Linked DNA regions of Oryzias latipes. The protein of the gene in region 1 binds, or shares a complex with, the protein of each later gene. Links are inferred from orthologs where the notes say so. Each region holds a gene or a part of one and is shown in the gene's direction. Other genes may lie near its edges. The genes, in order: tnpo3, cirbp and cpsf6.

The links.
Region 2: the proteins of tnpo3 (region 1) and cirbp are in contact, whole or in part, in a crystal structure (PDB 8CMK), measured with the Homo sapiens proteins. The link is inferred for Oryzias latipes from reciprocal best matches to the Homo sapiens genes TNPO3 and CIRBP. Residues at the interface, in NP_036602.1 of Homo sapiens: Arg620, Glu660, Arg661, Cys663, Arg664, Arg667, Phe668, Arg671, Ser698, Cys699, Tyr702, Ser705, Ile706, Asp709, Glu710, Asp747, Asp750, Asp751, Arg754, Arg758; in NP_001271.1 of Homo sapiens: Tyr160, Arg161, Ser163, Tyr164, Asp165, Ser166, Tyr167, Ala168.
Region 3: the proteins of tnpo3 (region 1) and cpsf6 are in contact, whole or in part, in a crystal structure (PDB 6GX9), measured with the Homo sapiens proteins. The link is inferred for Oryzias latipes from reciprocal best matches to the Homo sapiens genes TNPO3 and CPSF6. Residues at the interface, in NP_036602.1 of Homo sapiens: Arg620, Asn656, Arg657, Glu660, Arg661, Arg664, Arg667, Phe668, Arg671, Ser698, Cys699, Tyr702, Ile706, Asp709, Asp747, Asp750, Asp751, Arg754, Arg758, Gln761, Cys793, Arg797; in NP_008938.2 of Homo sapiens: Tyr521, Arg522, Glu523, Arg524, Ser525, Glu527, Arg528.

Annotation. Positions count from the first base shown.
Region 1 is NC_019881.2:23,831,711-23,835,910, forward strand, and holds the start of tnpo3 (transportin-3), read left to right. Parts: upstream 1-1,336; 5' UTR 1,337-1,451; coding exon 1,452-1,571; intron 1,572-2,402; coding exon 2,403-2,603; intron 2,604-4,200. UniProt on the Homo sapiens protein: Importin, which transports target proteins into the nucleus. Specifically mediates the nuclear import of splicing factor serine/arginine (SR) proteins, such as RBM4, SFRS1 and SFRS2, by recognizing phosphorylated SR domains.
Region 2 is NC_019875.2:22,782,536-22,786,709, forward strand, and holds the start of cirbp (cold-inducible RNA-binding protein), read left to right. Parts: upstream 1-1,311; 5' UTR 1,312-1,437; intron 1,438-2,080; 5' UTR 2,081-2,092; coding exon 2,093-2,192; intron 2,193-2,277; coding exon 2,278-2,384; intron 2,385-2,466; coding exon 2,467-2,599; intron 2,600-2,690; coding exon 2,691-2,829; intron 2,830-2,902; coding exon 2,903-2,961; intron 2,962-3,358; coding exon 3,359-3,372; 3' UTR 3,373-3,871; coding exon of another isoform or gene 3,872-3,876; 3' UTR 3,877-4,174. UniProt on the Homo sapiens protein: Cold-inducible mRNA binding protein that plays a protective role in the genotoxic stress response by stabilizing transcripts of genes involved in cell survival. Acts as a translational activator.
Region 3 is NC_019881.2:14,392,044-14,396,299, reverse strand, and holds the start of cpsf6 (cleavage and polyadenylation specificity factor subunit 6), read left to right. Parts: upstream 1-1,388; 5' UTR 1,389-1,439; coding exon 1,440-1,499; intron 1,500-4,256. UniProt on the Homo sapiens protein: Component of the cleavage factor Im (CFIm) complex that functions as an activator of the pre-mRNA 3'-end cleavage and polyadenylation processing required for the maturation of pre-mRNA into functional mRNAs.

The DNA of each region.
Region 1 (4,200 bases):
GTTATTGGTGAAGATGTTATCAATAAGAGCAGCACTTTGAGTAGAGGAAACAGTTATTGCCCCTGATGATGCCACACCAGGGAGGAAGCAGCTCTTGGGTTCTCCTGGCCAGGCTGTCAATCAAACCCAGCCTCAGAAACCTGGGGGTCATTTCAGTCCAAACAGCTGATCCAGAACTGTTTCCTCCAGACGAAGAACATTTCTAAGCTCAGTGTCATATGAAGATCTGGAACTTCTTATTCATGCCTTTGTTTCTACACGGTTAGACTTCTGTGACACTCTGTTTTCCTGTCTGAATCAGAAGGAGCTGTCTCGTCTGCAGCTGATCCAGAACTCTGCTGAGAGGATCCTGACCCGCACTAAGAGAACCAATCCCACCCCCCCGATCCTAAAAGCTCTCCATCGGCTCCCGGTTGTTTACCGGTTTCAGTATAGAGTCTAGGTGTTGACTTTTAGGGCCTCCATGGTCAAACTGCTCCGTGTGTCTGTGACCTGATCGCCCCCTACAGACCATCTGGTGCACTGAGGTCTGTGGATCAGAACCTGTTGATGGTTCCAGGAAAACGGTTCTGGACCAGAGGAGACAGAACCTCGCGGGCTGCTGCTCTGGACTCTGTGCATTCTTGTCAAAGTCAACAGGAAACGTTTTATTTTGCATTGCAACGGTTTTATTTGGCTTCAGAGGAATGTCTCCATGGTCCATGTTTAGTCTCTGGTGTTTTTTCACCCTGTGTCTCATCTTGTGACTTCTGTTCTGTGAACAGCTCTAGAAATCACGTCTACTGACTGACGTCCAGCCTTTACAGGTATTAAGGCCGAGTTGAACCAGAACCAGAACCAGAACAGGGTTTATCTCCACAAAGACGGTAGATTCGTGAACGCTTCTCCGTAATCCCTCCATCATCCTCCGACCTCTCTTTAAAGTTGTCATGTTTCCTCTGAACATTTCTGATTTTCTTTCAGAAATGATCCAGAATCTGTTTGCTGTCGATAAATCGGAGTCACAGAAGTCCTGAAATGGTTGAGAAACATATTAAGCAGAAAGTGATCACTTCCCACGTCCAGAACTCTCAAAACACCTTTTTTGGGTCATCTTTACACTTCCGCTGACGCAATCACTACGTCACAAACGGCGAGGTCCGGGTCTGCACAGTTCAGGGTCTATTCTCGTGGCTGTCCCGGTTCTTCTTCATTGGTCTAGAACGGTTCGGAACGGTTCGGTTCCCGAGAAGGAAAAGAGCGGGCAGACGGAGGCAGGCGGCGCGCAGGCGCAGACGGACCCTTCTGTGTCACACTGAAATCAGCGCGGAACTAAAGTTCCCGCTCGAGTTTCCGCAGGAGTACGATCAATGCCGCACGCCCGAAGTCTGTGCGAGATGGCGGTCGGAACCCGGACAGCGTAGAACTCTCTCCGAACCGTCTGTGAAGTGGTATCGTCCCTCTGAGCCGCGATGGAGGGTGGGAAACCGAACCTGGCTCTGGTCTACCAGGCGGTCCAGGCCCTGTACAACGACCCGGACCCAGCGGGGAAGGAGCGAGCCTCGGTGTGGCTCGGGGAGCTGCAGAGATCGGTGAGAGCGCAGCGTTGGGCCGGGCCGGCGGGGTGTTGGTGGGGCCGGTGTGGGTTTGGACCGATCACCTGCTCGGACAGGTGCGCTAATGCGCAGTCTCAGAGGAGCTTCCTCTTCGGTCCTCTTGCTAAGCTAACGGGATGAATGGGCTCGAGCCGAACCGCGCCGGTCCCCTTTGGGTTTGGGGCTCATGGGCGCGGACAGAACTTGTCCCGCGCGCCTCCTCTCGAGTTCTGTGGTGTTTTGGAGAACATGGGGGGGTCTATATGGGGGGTCTGAGCCCCAGCGGCCCGGCGCTGTTAGCCGGGCTAATGTAGCTGCTGGACCGACTTCCTGTTGAAGCTGCGCAGATCCCGAAGCGGCTGCCTCTGTCCACGTCACTGCTGACGGTCGGGCGCATGCGTGCGATCACTGACAGCTCAGGTGCGCGTGCCCCCGCTCCGCCCTAAGCCAGCCGAGTCTGTCGGACCCAAACAGAAACCGAGCCGACGCCAGGCTCCGCTGGCTGATGGGGGGGAGGAGGCAGATGTTTGGGTCTGGGGGCAACAGAGTTTTAAAAGCTGCTCAGATCCAGAAGCCCACGCAGACCTGGACCCAGACAGCCAGGGGGACATTATGGACTGGGCTTGTCAGTCCAGGTGACAGAAGAACCTTGGTCAGAAGCTCAGCTCAGACCAGAACAGGTCCGGGTGTTGGTTGGGTTCCTGCTCAGCACCAGAAGGCCCAATTTGAGCTGGTTCTGATATAAATAGATGTTGCTTTTTACTGCTTATGGGTTCTGTTGGGAGCAGAGTGATGGACCACTCAGTGACATCACTTCCTGTCCTGCAGATGTACGCCTGGGAGATTTCAGACCAGCTGCTGCAGCTCAGACAGGACGTTGAGTCCTGTTACTTTGCTGCTCAGACCATGAAGATGAAGATCCAGATGTGCTTCTACGAGCTTCCACCAGAAACCCACAATGCACTACGGGATTCTCTCCTGACCCACATCCAGAACCTCAAAGACCTGTCGCCCATCATCGTCACACAGGTAAGGGCACCTGCAGCTCTGCAGAACCTCTGGTTCTGGATGGAAACACTCGCCTGTCTCCTCGTGTGAGGTCACTTCCTGTTTCCTGTCTCTGTATCTCCTCTGCAAACCTCAGTTTGTGGAAAAACGTAAGGTTCTGCATAAAACCTCCAAAGTGAGGTGAAGTCATCAGGATTCACTGAATCTGATTCCAGGGAAGTGCGGTTATTAGGACCGTCCTAGACCGAGTCTCGGTTCCTTCTGGATCAAATTCTGACATGGCCTCAGTTTTTCTGACAAGTCTATCGGAGGACGTTCTAGTTCTGCAGGTTCTGTAGCCCTGTAGAAGCACACAGCATAGAACTCCTCATTAAGCGGGGATTTACTGGACAGTTGTCTGTGAGGAACCCAGAACTGTTGACATCTAGGGTTGTGCCGATGGACCATATCATCGTCCATCGTGATGGGTGACTGACATCCCGATGGAGAGACACCATCGTGATGCCACGCCCCCGCCACGTTGCGAGTCGACACCATAAGCCCCGGTTACATGTACAAAATATCTTGATGGGATCAATGGTCGGATTAGAATCCAACCGTGTACATGGGCCCAGAAAAATGTTTTCAGAATATAAAAACGTTCACTAAGGTCACACTTTCAGTCGGAATAAATCATTCGCACATGCGCAGTAGGGTTTGAAAAACCGGAAGCGGATATCAGTTCCGCCGAGCGGCTATTTTTATCTCAAACTTTATTGAATGTAACAATTCAATACAAAACAATGTTAAACAGCGCTGAGCGGCTAGTTACATTGACATGTCAGCTCGGTAAAATACGAGATGATCTTCTAAACGTGCTTTTAATAATGTTACGGTTACTATGAAACACCTGTTCGCTCATCATTTGAATTTTAATCCGTGTGGTCAGGGCTTTTTCTGAACGAAGCCAGAGTTAGCAGTATGCTAACACGGGCTAACAACAATAGCTTTGGGTGGCGCTGCAATCTGCATCTTGGCTGCATGTAAACATGTGGGAATAACATCAGCCTTTATTTAGTCGGGACACGACTGGAAACACAAATCCACGTGATTGTTTGAACGATTTCTAAGGACTGAGCGACATTTCTGCTTTGAAGCTCACACCGCCCCAAAGCGCTGTGTGTGTGCTCACGATCCTCTGCTCAGACACACACTTTTAGACCCGGTTCTGAGTTCGGTAGGCCGTTCACCTAGAGCTGCGGGACGGATCGCAGTTCTAAATCTCCCACATAGCGCTCATGTAACAAAGCACCCCCCCCCCCCCCCCCCCCCTTCCACTCAAACACAAAGCTGTAAGTCCGCGCTCCGCCGGTCCACTTGACTAGTGAAGTGTGGGAGCCGACCATTTCTTCTAGTTTGTTTGTTACTTTTTTAAAGTCACTTCCCTCAGTTTATACTGGATCATTGCGGATTAGTCATTAGTTGGGAAATAAAATAAAGTAAAATAACGAATAGCAGTTATATAAGACCGAAAAATGTAAAAATACCCCCCCCCCCCTCCATGGGAACAGGAACTGTGGGAGGGAGGGAGACTGAAGAGACATGGGGGTGGGGGGTGATTCTGAAAATATCTTAATGG
Region 2 (4,174 bases), on another chromosome or scaffold:
GTCGAGCCGGAGACAGGATCCACAGCCAGGTGTAGAAGCAGTAGTAGAGGCGAGCCAGAGACAAGGTACACGGTCAGGTACAGGAGCACGGATTAGCCAACTGGAATCTGGAAGCACTCCCACTCACCTGGAGGGGAGAGGGAAAGAAGGACAGTACATGAATCGCACTGCACCAAACAGAGGCATGGAGAACTAAATTATGAATAATGATCAAGAATAGAGAGGAGAAGAAGGGTAGAAGCATAAAGAGGACAGAACCCCAATGCATCATACTAGTAAAAAAAAATGACTGTCATATGGTTCCTCAGGATTCAAGTTTGTTTTCTGAATTAGAAAATCTTTATCCTTAACATTTTCAGTGAAAAAAATTCTTAGCCTTTAAAATTTGGGTTGCTGTTTGGAAAAAATAAACCTTTGTTGTCTTATTTCCAACTCAAAAAGTGCACTCTGGCACAGGTTAGGATGCAGCAGTAGATTATTTTGAATCTCTGTAAATGTTCTCAGCTTCAGGAATGCAGGAAAGTTAATGTAATTATTCAGTACCTAACTTCATCTGTTAGGTGGAGTCAGAGGATATGAATAAAACATGCATGTGTGAATATGAAAAAATGTGCTTTCAATATTTAGCTTTCTTAAACTGTTTCTTTTAAAATTCTTGTAGTTTTGAAAATGGCACATAATAAAATTTTATTTTCATAGATATATAAAATTTTGCTTTCAAGTGTGATCCTCAATGTCCAAAATGGAACAATCAGAAAATGGCACGAATTCCCTTTTGATTATAAAATAGATTAGTTTGAAGTAAGTTATATATTGCTCTGCTAATAAATTCTACAAAAACGGTTTAAATTTTACAACTTTAAGAGACCCACGTTTTCTCCAAAAAATGTGGTTTAATTAAACAGAAAAGGCAAAAAAAGACGTATTTAACACATGCCGAACTTACAGCAGAAACATGTTTTGTTCAAAATACAAAAACGATCGTAACACTTAAGAGATGTATGAAAGCAAAAAGAAGCATACTAGCAAACTATAAAAGAAGCAAACTTTATTGTAAAATTCAAAAACAACAACCCAACAAAATAAACGACTTTTAACTTTGACTAGTAGGCAAGAGAAGGGTTTAAAATTGCTTTTCGAACAGTATTTTCTTTTGAGGGTTAAATGCCTTTTTCCTTACAGAACAACACGTGGGCTTAGTTTCGGTCTCTAAAATCTCTTTGTTTGGTGTCGTTTTCCGGGTCCAACCGCCAGAATTTCCTGAACAGTAGGTGGCGGTATTAGCCTTTAAAGTTACAATGCGGGATTTCAGAGCTCTAAACCACCATAGAAGAAGAAGATGCAGCTTGTATAAATACGAAGGACCGTTCCCTCCCCCGCCATTTATCTGCATTGCAGCACCGTGCGTCTTTCTCTCCATCCCTTGTAAGGACAAAGGTAATCGCAGTCTTTTTTTAAACTGTGTTGAAATGGTGAAATATGGTGCTTATGTTTGCTTTAAAGAGCAAGTGACCTAAATGTTTTTCTTCGCAATCTAACTTGTCTTAGGAAAATCATAATTTTTAAATTTAGGATTTTCAATCTTAAAATGCGTAAAAAACTAACTATATTTTGCAGTAATTGTATGAGTAATAGTAGGTTAAACTGTCGTTGACCTAATTTTCTCAAAGTGGGGCACTTATGTAACCTTGAAAAGAGGCTTTGCGGACTCGTGGCGAAGTAGGTCATTGAACAAAGAAGACGAGCTCGACGCCACAAAATGGCGCTGGGTGAAAAAATTAAATCCTTCGCAGCACCATCTATTTGTACCGTTTCGTTGTGTTTAAGGTGCATATAGCCAATATTAATTGTGAGTAATGTATTATGGTATGTTTTCATAAAAACAACTTAAATTTTAAGTTAAATTTAAGGCGGTCCAGCTTTGGCGCTAAAGTGCGCAACGTGCGGTCGCCATTTTGAGTCGTCTCGCTGACCTACTTTCACAATGCCCCACCCTAGTAACCCTTAATGCTCGATGTTTCCTTTCATTTATTCATGTATTCTTTTTTTAATAATCGATTTGGTTTCTCTTTATATGCAGCTATCCCTTAAAATGTCGGACGAAGGCAAACTTTTTATTGGAGGTCTGAGCTTCGAGACCAACGAAGACTCTCTTGCCGCCGCTTTTGGCAAATATGGAACCATCGAAAAAGGTAAACATTTGACGGTGCTTTAAAATTTGTATAAACACTAGTGTCGTTATTTTTTTTTTACAATTTTTTTTTTTGGTCTTTTCAGTCGATGTGATCAGAGACAAAGAGACCGGAAGATCACGTGGTTTCGGCTTTGTGAAGTACGACAATGTTGAAGATGCTAAAGATGCGCTGGACGCAATGAACGGAAAGGTATGTTGTCGATTATTTATTTCTTGCTTAAGAAGTTTTGTTTTAAAAATAAAATTAAAATTTCATGCATTTTGTTCCCCAGACGCTTGATGGCCGGGCGATCCGAGTGGACGAAGCAGGGAAGGGAGGTCGCGCCAGAGGAGGATTTTCATCAGGCCCGCGCGGTGGACGCTTCAGCGGATCAAGGGGTAGGGGCGGCCGTGGTTTCTCCAGGGGTGAGAACTGCTGAAGAATAAAAACCTCGCTCCACTTTAAATTTGGTGCGGTAAACCCTATTTTAATCCGTTGTTTCTTTCATGTTTATAGGTGGCTACAACAGCGACAGAGGCTACGGAGACAGAAGTTATGGCGACAGGAGCTTTGGAGGCGGAGACAGGAGCTTTGGTGGAAGCGGTGGCGGATTCAGAAGTGGTGGATACTCATCCAGCGGCTACAGAGACAATAGGTAAGTTTAATCATTTTTTATTGTTGAATGATCGCATAATGAGGTGAATTAATAATTTTTATCATTCATATAGGGGGCAGGGAGGATATGGTGACCGATCTGGGTCTTACAGGGACGGCTATGACAGCTATGGTAAGCATTGAGCTTTAATCACACTTTGGGGCTAAAAGACTATAATCATTAGGATTGTAGCGTTTTTAGGAACAAGTTTAATGCCTAGTCATAAATGCAGCTCGTGATGGGGTGTCCTCAACCTTTAGTTGGTACAACTTGATCTCGAATCTGCCCCTTGTTGCAAAAAAAGACCTCAATCCCTCTCATATTACGAATTTCCGAACTTTGCACAAGAGGATGGAGGAGAAAACGAAATAATGCTGCCACCTCTAAAGTTGCCTTGTCCTATGACGGTGCCTCTTTGACAGAATAAAGGGAGGGTTAGTATACTACCTGGTGGGATGAAGAATGTAATGAAACTCCAGTGTCGGAACTTTCAGTGTCTTCACCTTTTTGCCCACTTCTGCTCCCCCAGCTTCACACGAGTAAACACCTCCTTGAATCAAGACCATCACTTGGCTGGCTGTTTTTGAAAGATGCTCTCCTCAAGAAAATTGTCCATGTATTTTGCTGACCTGTTTTGTAGTTCGCCACCTTAAGTGTAGTTGTTAATTTGCTCCTCAAAACCTGTTACAACAGTTAACGAGTCTTGCCTGGCTCAATTTGACAACTTCCTACAGCTTTGATTCGATCTGTCCTTGGTAGAGCACAGAGCCATTCTCAATTTGGGAGCTTCTGATAGCTCAGCGACAGCTTTGCTGTAGACCTTTTTTGTCTGACACTTTACATGTGTTCTAATATAATTTTCAATTTTTATTATAAAGTATAATGGGGCATAGTTTTCCTTGGTCAATCATCTACCTCCTTAAGAGTTTTAAATTGAGTAAGGAAAAAGCTTAAATAGTTTTGGGGTTTATGGATGAAGTCCTTTTCCTATTGAGAGAACCTTCATTCAGCCAAGGCTCCTTTCTGTTCCATTTCCCAAAAGAGTGAATGCCTTTGACTGGTGAACTACACATCCGAAGTGGCCGGCTGTTCATGAAGTTGCACAATGCAGCATGCTACAGTCTGTCCAAGGTATCTTCTGTGCTCTCTGCTCAACGTCTGCATTATAAATGTGCTGTAAAATGGACTGTTTAAAGTGATTCAAAATGTAATTTCGTTTACCCAAAAGTTTAGTCTAAAGCGGGAACAGTTTTGTACTTTTTGTTCTTTGTATGATACAAGAATATTTTTTTTTGTCAGTTTGGCTTCATGGAGCCTATTAAACGAAACATGGAAAATGATCCTG
Region 3 (4,256 bases), about 9.4 Mb from region 1:
CAAACTTCTTTTTTTCTTCCATTTTTGCATGTTAAAAAGATTTACTTCTAATATATTTGTTACCTTTTTTATATTCTTTTTAACTAAAACATTTAAAATGGTCTGACTGAAATTATTATTTTTGTTGTTGTTGTCTTTGGTTGTGTTATTGACAGAGGTAAAATCTAATATATATGAAATGTTTATGATTTTTTTTAGGAGGAGCTAAAACTTGGAATGTGATTTTGTTCTTTTGTTCTGTTTTTTTCCTTTGTAAAACAAACCTGTAAATTGTTCTTATGAAAGTATTACATGGATTAAAGCCATTATTTATAAAATAAAAGATCCACAAAGTTGTTTTTATTACATTTACTTTGACTGTGTGTCATTTCTGTTTGTCTCCTTTTATTCACCTATTATTTATAAACTTATAGTTTCATATAAATGAGCAGTAAATTTATAAAGATATAGTATGATAGCAGTGGTTGTTTCAACAAATTGGATTGTGAATGACAGATGATTTCAAAAAATAAAACTTTATTTTCCAATAAAGTTTTACAAAATTACTTTTTAAGGTAAAATCCTATGTGTTATAGTTATTATTGTATCCTTTACATCAGAGTAAGTATTCAAATGTTGATCAAAAGCCAGATTTAAATTTATTTATATGACATTATTGATAAAATGTCTAATATAGTGTAAAATGTGAGTCTACAAATAATACACCAAAATAGAATGTTTTGTGTCTTGTCAATGTACTTAAAATATTCATTCATTCATTAATTCATTTTCTTAACCGTTTATTCCCTTTCGGGGTCACGGGGCTGCTGGAGCCTATCCCAGCCACTTGGGCGTCTTAAAATATTTATATTTTTAATTTGAAAAAAATATTATAGTATAATTACAGCAATACCTAATACACAGGAAACTATATAGTTGGAGATCATGTTTCACTCTTCTCTTTACACATAACTTTGCTTTTTATTTTCACTTTTAACTTTGTTGTCAAGAATTGTTACAATTTTTATTAAAAGACCATTTCTTCCAGCGATTTGTGTCAAATTTGCTGAAATTTTCAATCAACAAAACAGTAATGGCAGGTGCACAGCTGTACGTAGAAAAAAGCGTGATCTATTCTATCTATTTGAGTTCTTTTAGAAATTGCATTTCCATTGTTGTGAAAATCATTTATTAATAAATAAATAGATATTGAATTCCTCTTTTAAATGCGTAATTACAAAATACATAACAGAATAATTTATATTTTTTATAGATGTCGTATTCAGTAGTATGAATGTTTAAAGTGAAATGCAGATGATCAATGAATCCGTCATTCCCAGCAGAGCAGGCTGTAGTTAGTGAATACGACCAGCAGGGGCGCTGATGCATCTCCCGGAGTTATTGTTTGTAGCTCCGATCCTCTGCACCGCCAGGCGGACGGAGGCACGAAGCAGAGGAAAATGGCGGACGGTGTGGATCATATCGACATCTACGCCGACGTAGAAGAGGAATTTAATCAGGTATTAAAATAAAATATTCTCGAGTTTGTTCAGTGCTTTGAAGTTCTTTTTCTAATTTTTGCAATGGTCTTTTCGGCGTTATAGGAAAAATAGGTGTAATTTGATGCTCGTGCTAGCTTCTCCACTAGCAATACACACACAGGCCTCTGTCAGTCAGTGTGCTGCGTTGGTTGCAGCATAGATAGCAAACTTCTGTACAATAGATCTGCATTTTTTATTCAAACAGTAGTACACATGTGGAGGTAAATGTGATGTGGGTTATTATTTAGAATATGTACATTTTTGTCCATCAGCAAAGCGTCTAGCAGCCTTTTCAGTGGAGCGCGCGTATAGGCCGCGCAGTGTGTGCTTTCTTTTTTTTTTTTTCTCCCGACGGAGGCTGTTAACCAAACACGCATTTCATGATAAGCTAGCTGGTGTTGGTTAACTTCACACGTTTAATTGGTTTACTGTATTGGACGTGGGTTATAGTTTGGATCAAATGTAACTTGGTGTACTTTTAAAAACGTCAAAAATAAAAACAAAAGGGGAAAACACGAGTTACACGGCTTCCATTCTGGCAGCAGGTTGGGTCATCATGCATGGTGGGTGTTTTTTTTTATTCTTGCGCGCGCGCACATTAAAAACCGCGCCCCCCTTTTTAGACCGCATACTAAAATCATAACTTACTGACATTTGTTTTGCACAGAATTTGTTATGGTATTATACTGTCGGAGCTAAACATTTAAAAATAAATGTTTTTTTTCCTTGTTTCTTATTAAAATTGTTTAGCTAAACTTAATTAAGAGCCAGTGACTTAAAAATTATTAGTCATGTTTTAGTTTTTTTTAACATTTCTTTAAGTTTACTACTCTTTTTTTCCTCATAAAGCGTGACATAAAATAAAGAGAAAAAAATGCTTTTGGAATTTAATTAATTTAAATCAATTTATTATAGTAATTTGCTTTTTCTAGTAACCATTTTTACTTTTAAATTCTGGTGTAATTTCTTTTATTTCAGCTTCTTCTTGTTGACTAACTCTCTAGCACTATTTGGTCTCCATGTTTTATTATAGCTGCAGCAATTTCCAGTAAAACAGGGAGCTAAGTAAGCGTCTGGTGATATGCAGTAAACTTCTATAGATTAGGGGTCAACAGCATTTGTGACATAAAGTGCCATTTTGAAATTTAGAATGTAAAAAAGTTCAATATGTCTAGAAATGTATTTAATTCCCAACAGCAGGCATTTTGGCATTACCTCAAAGACGTTCTTTCATAACAATATTGCACAAGGAAAATAGGCCAAACTTAAAAAGTGAACTTAAATAACTTAAAACTATGTTAGTTTGAAACAAAAAGTACAGCATTTGTGGTACATCATACTGTATACGTCATGTAAATTAAATCTATCATGGTGTTTTTATTGCATGTAAAAGTAAATGTTTTACTTTGACCTTAGAATGCTAATTATAGTAATATAAATTTTCCACAATTGGACATTCTTCATTTTTTTTCACCCCCAGTAAATGGAGTGGCGATCAGCTGTACTATTCATTTTAAAACTTTTTCTCATTTCACATTTACATTTGTCAGAACATAAAAAAGTCAGGGTATAATCTGACCTTATTTGGTATTATCAACAAACTGAGCTTATAACTTCATAAATGGCAGTCGCTGTGACATCCTAAATATAATTAAAAAACCGGCTGTGCATTCATTAACCTTTAGCGCGTTTCCCGCTTATGCATGCGCTCATCGTATTGCCCCACCTGTCATCTCACCGCCAACAGCTTCAAAACACAGGGTCATTACGTCACCGTGGCAAACTTGTTTTTTTTGCCTGCAGTGCACAATCATTTAAATCACCCGTTCATAAAGGCAGAAAGTAACGTACATTGTGTGAAACTAGGCCTGCACAATATATCGCAAATTTATCGTTATCGCGACATTAAGCTGTGCAATATGCATACCACAAAAGACGGCGAAAATCGCAATAAATGGTTACCTTAAATGTGCTAAAACAATCTCGTGGCAGCTTGAAATATTGAACAAATGAAATAAATCCCTTTATGCATTTAACCAATCGGAAGGACCCATTTACGTTGTTGATCAATCAGATGAGCCCTTTTATGTTTGATGTTTGCCTCCTATGTCGACAAGGGTCATTTGGAGTATAATTTTTAAACTGTTGCAGTGAAATGGAAATTATGTTTTTGGTTGTTTTGCTGTTTGTTTATATACCGCGAATCATATCGTTATCGCAATATTAATCACCAATATCGCATATCGCGAGTTTTCCTCATATCGTGCAGCCCTATGTGAAACTATAAAAGTGGTTGGGGTCACAGTAACAGCGCTGCTTGAATGGACCATTTCCTTTTGGCCCCATAGGGGTGACAAAAGCTCATTGTGAGAAGAGATTGTCACTGTTTTTAATCCCGAAAGATGCAAAGAGGCGACAGATCCAAGTGGTTAATGTTGTCACAGCCACTGTCTTTCCCTCTGCGTCCCAGTTGTGGCAAACTGCCAATTCGATAAGCAACTTACCTTAGATTAGACAGATACATCTGTTTCAATCGTAAGAAAATAAATCGATTCGTTGATTAATCGTTACACCCCTGTACATTACTAAAAATAATATCCATCCATAATATCTTTCACTTAAAAGATGCATTTCTACATCCCCAGTTTTTATAAACGTTGAGCCACAGTTTCAGGTTCTTGTGGAATTGAACCCCACATGTTTTGCTTTAACTGTGTTAACTCATTTTTCTTTTAA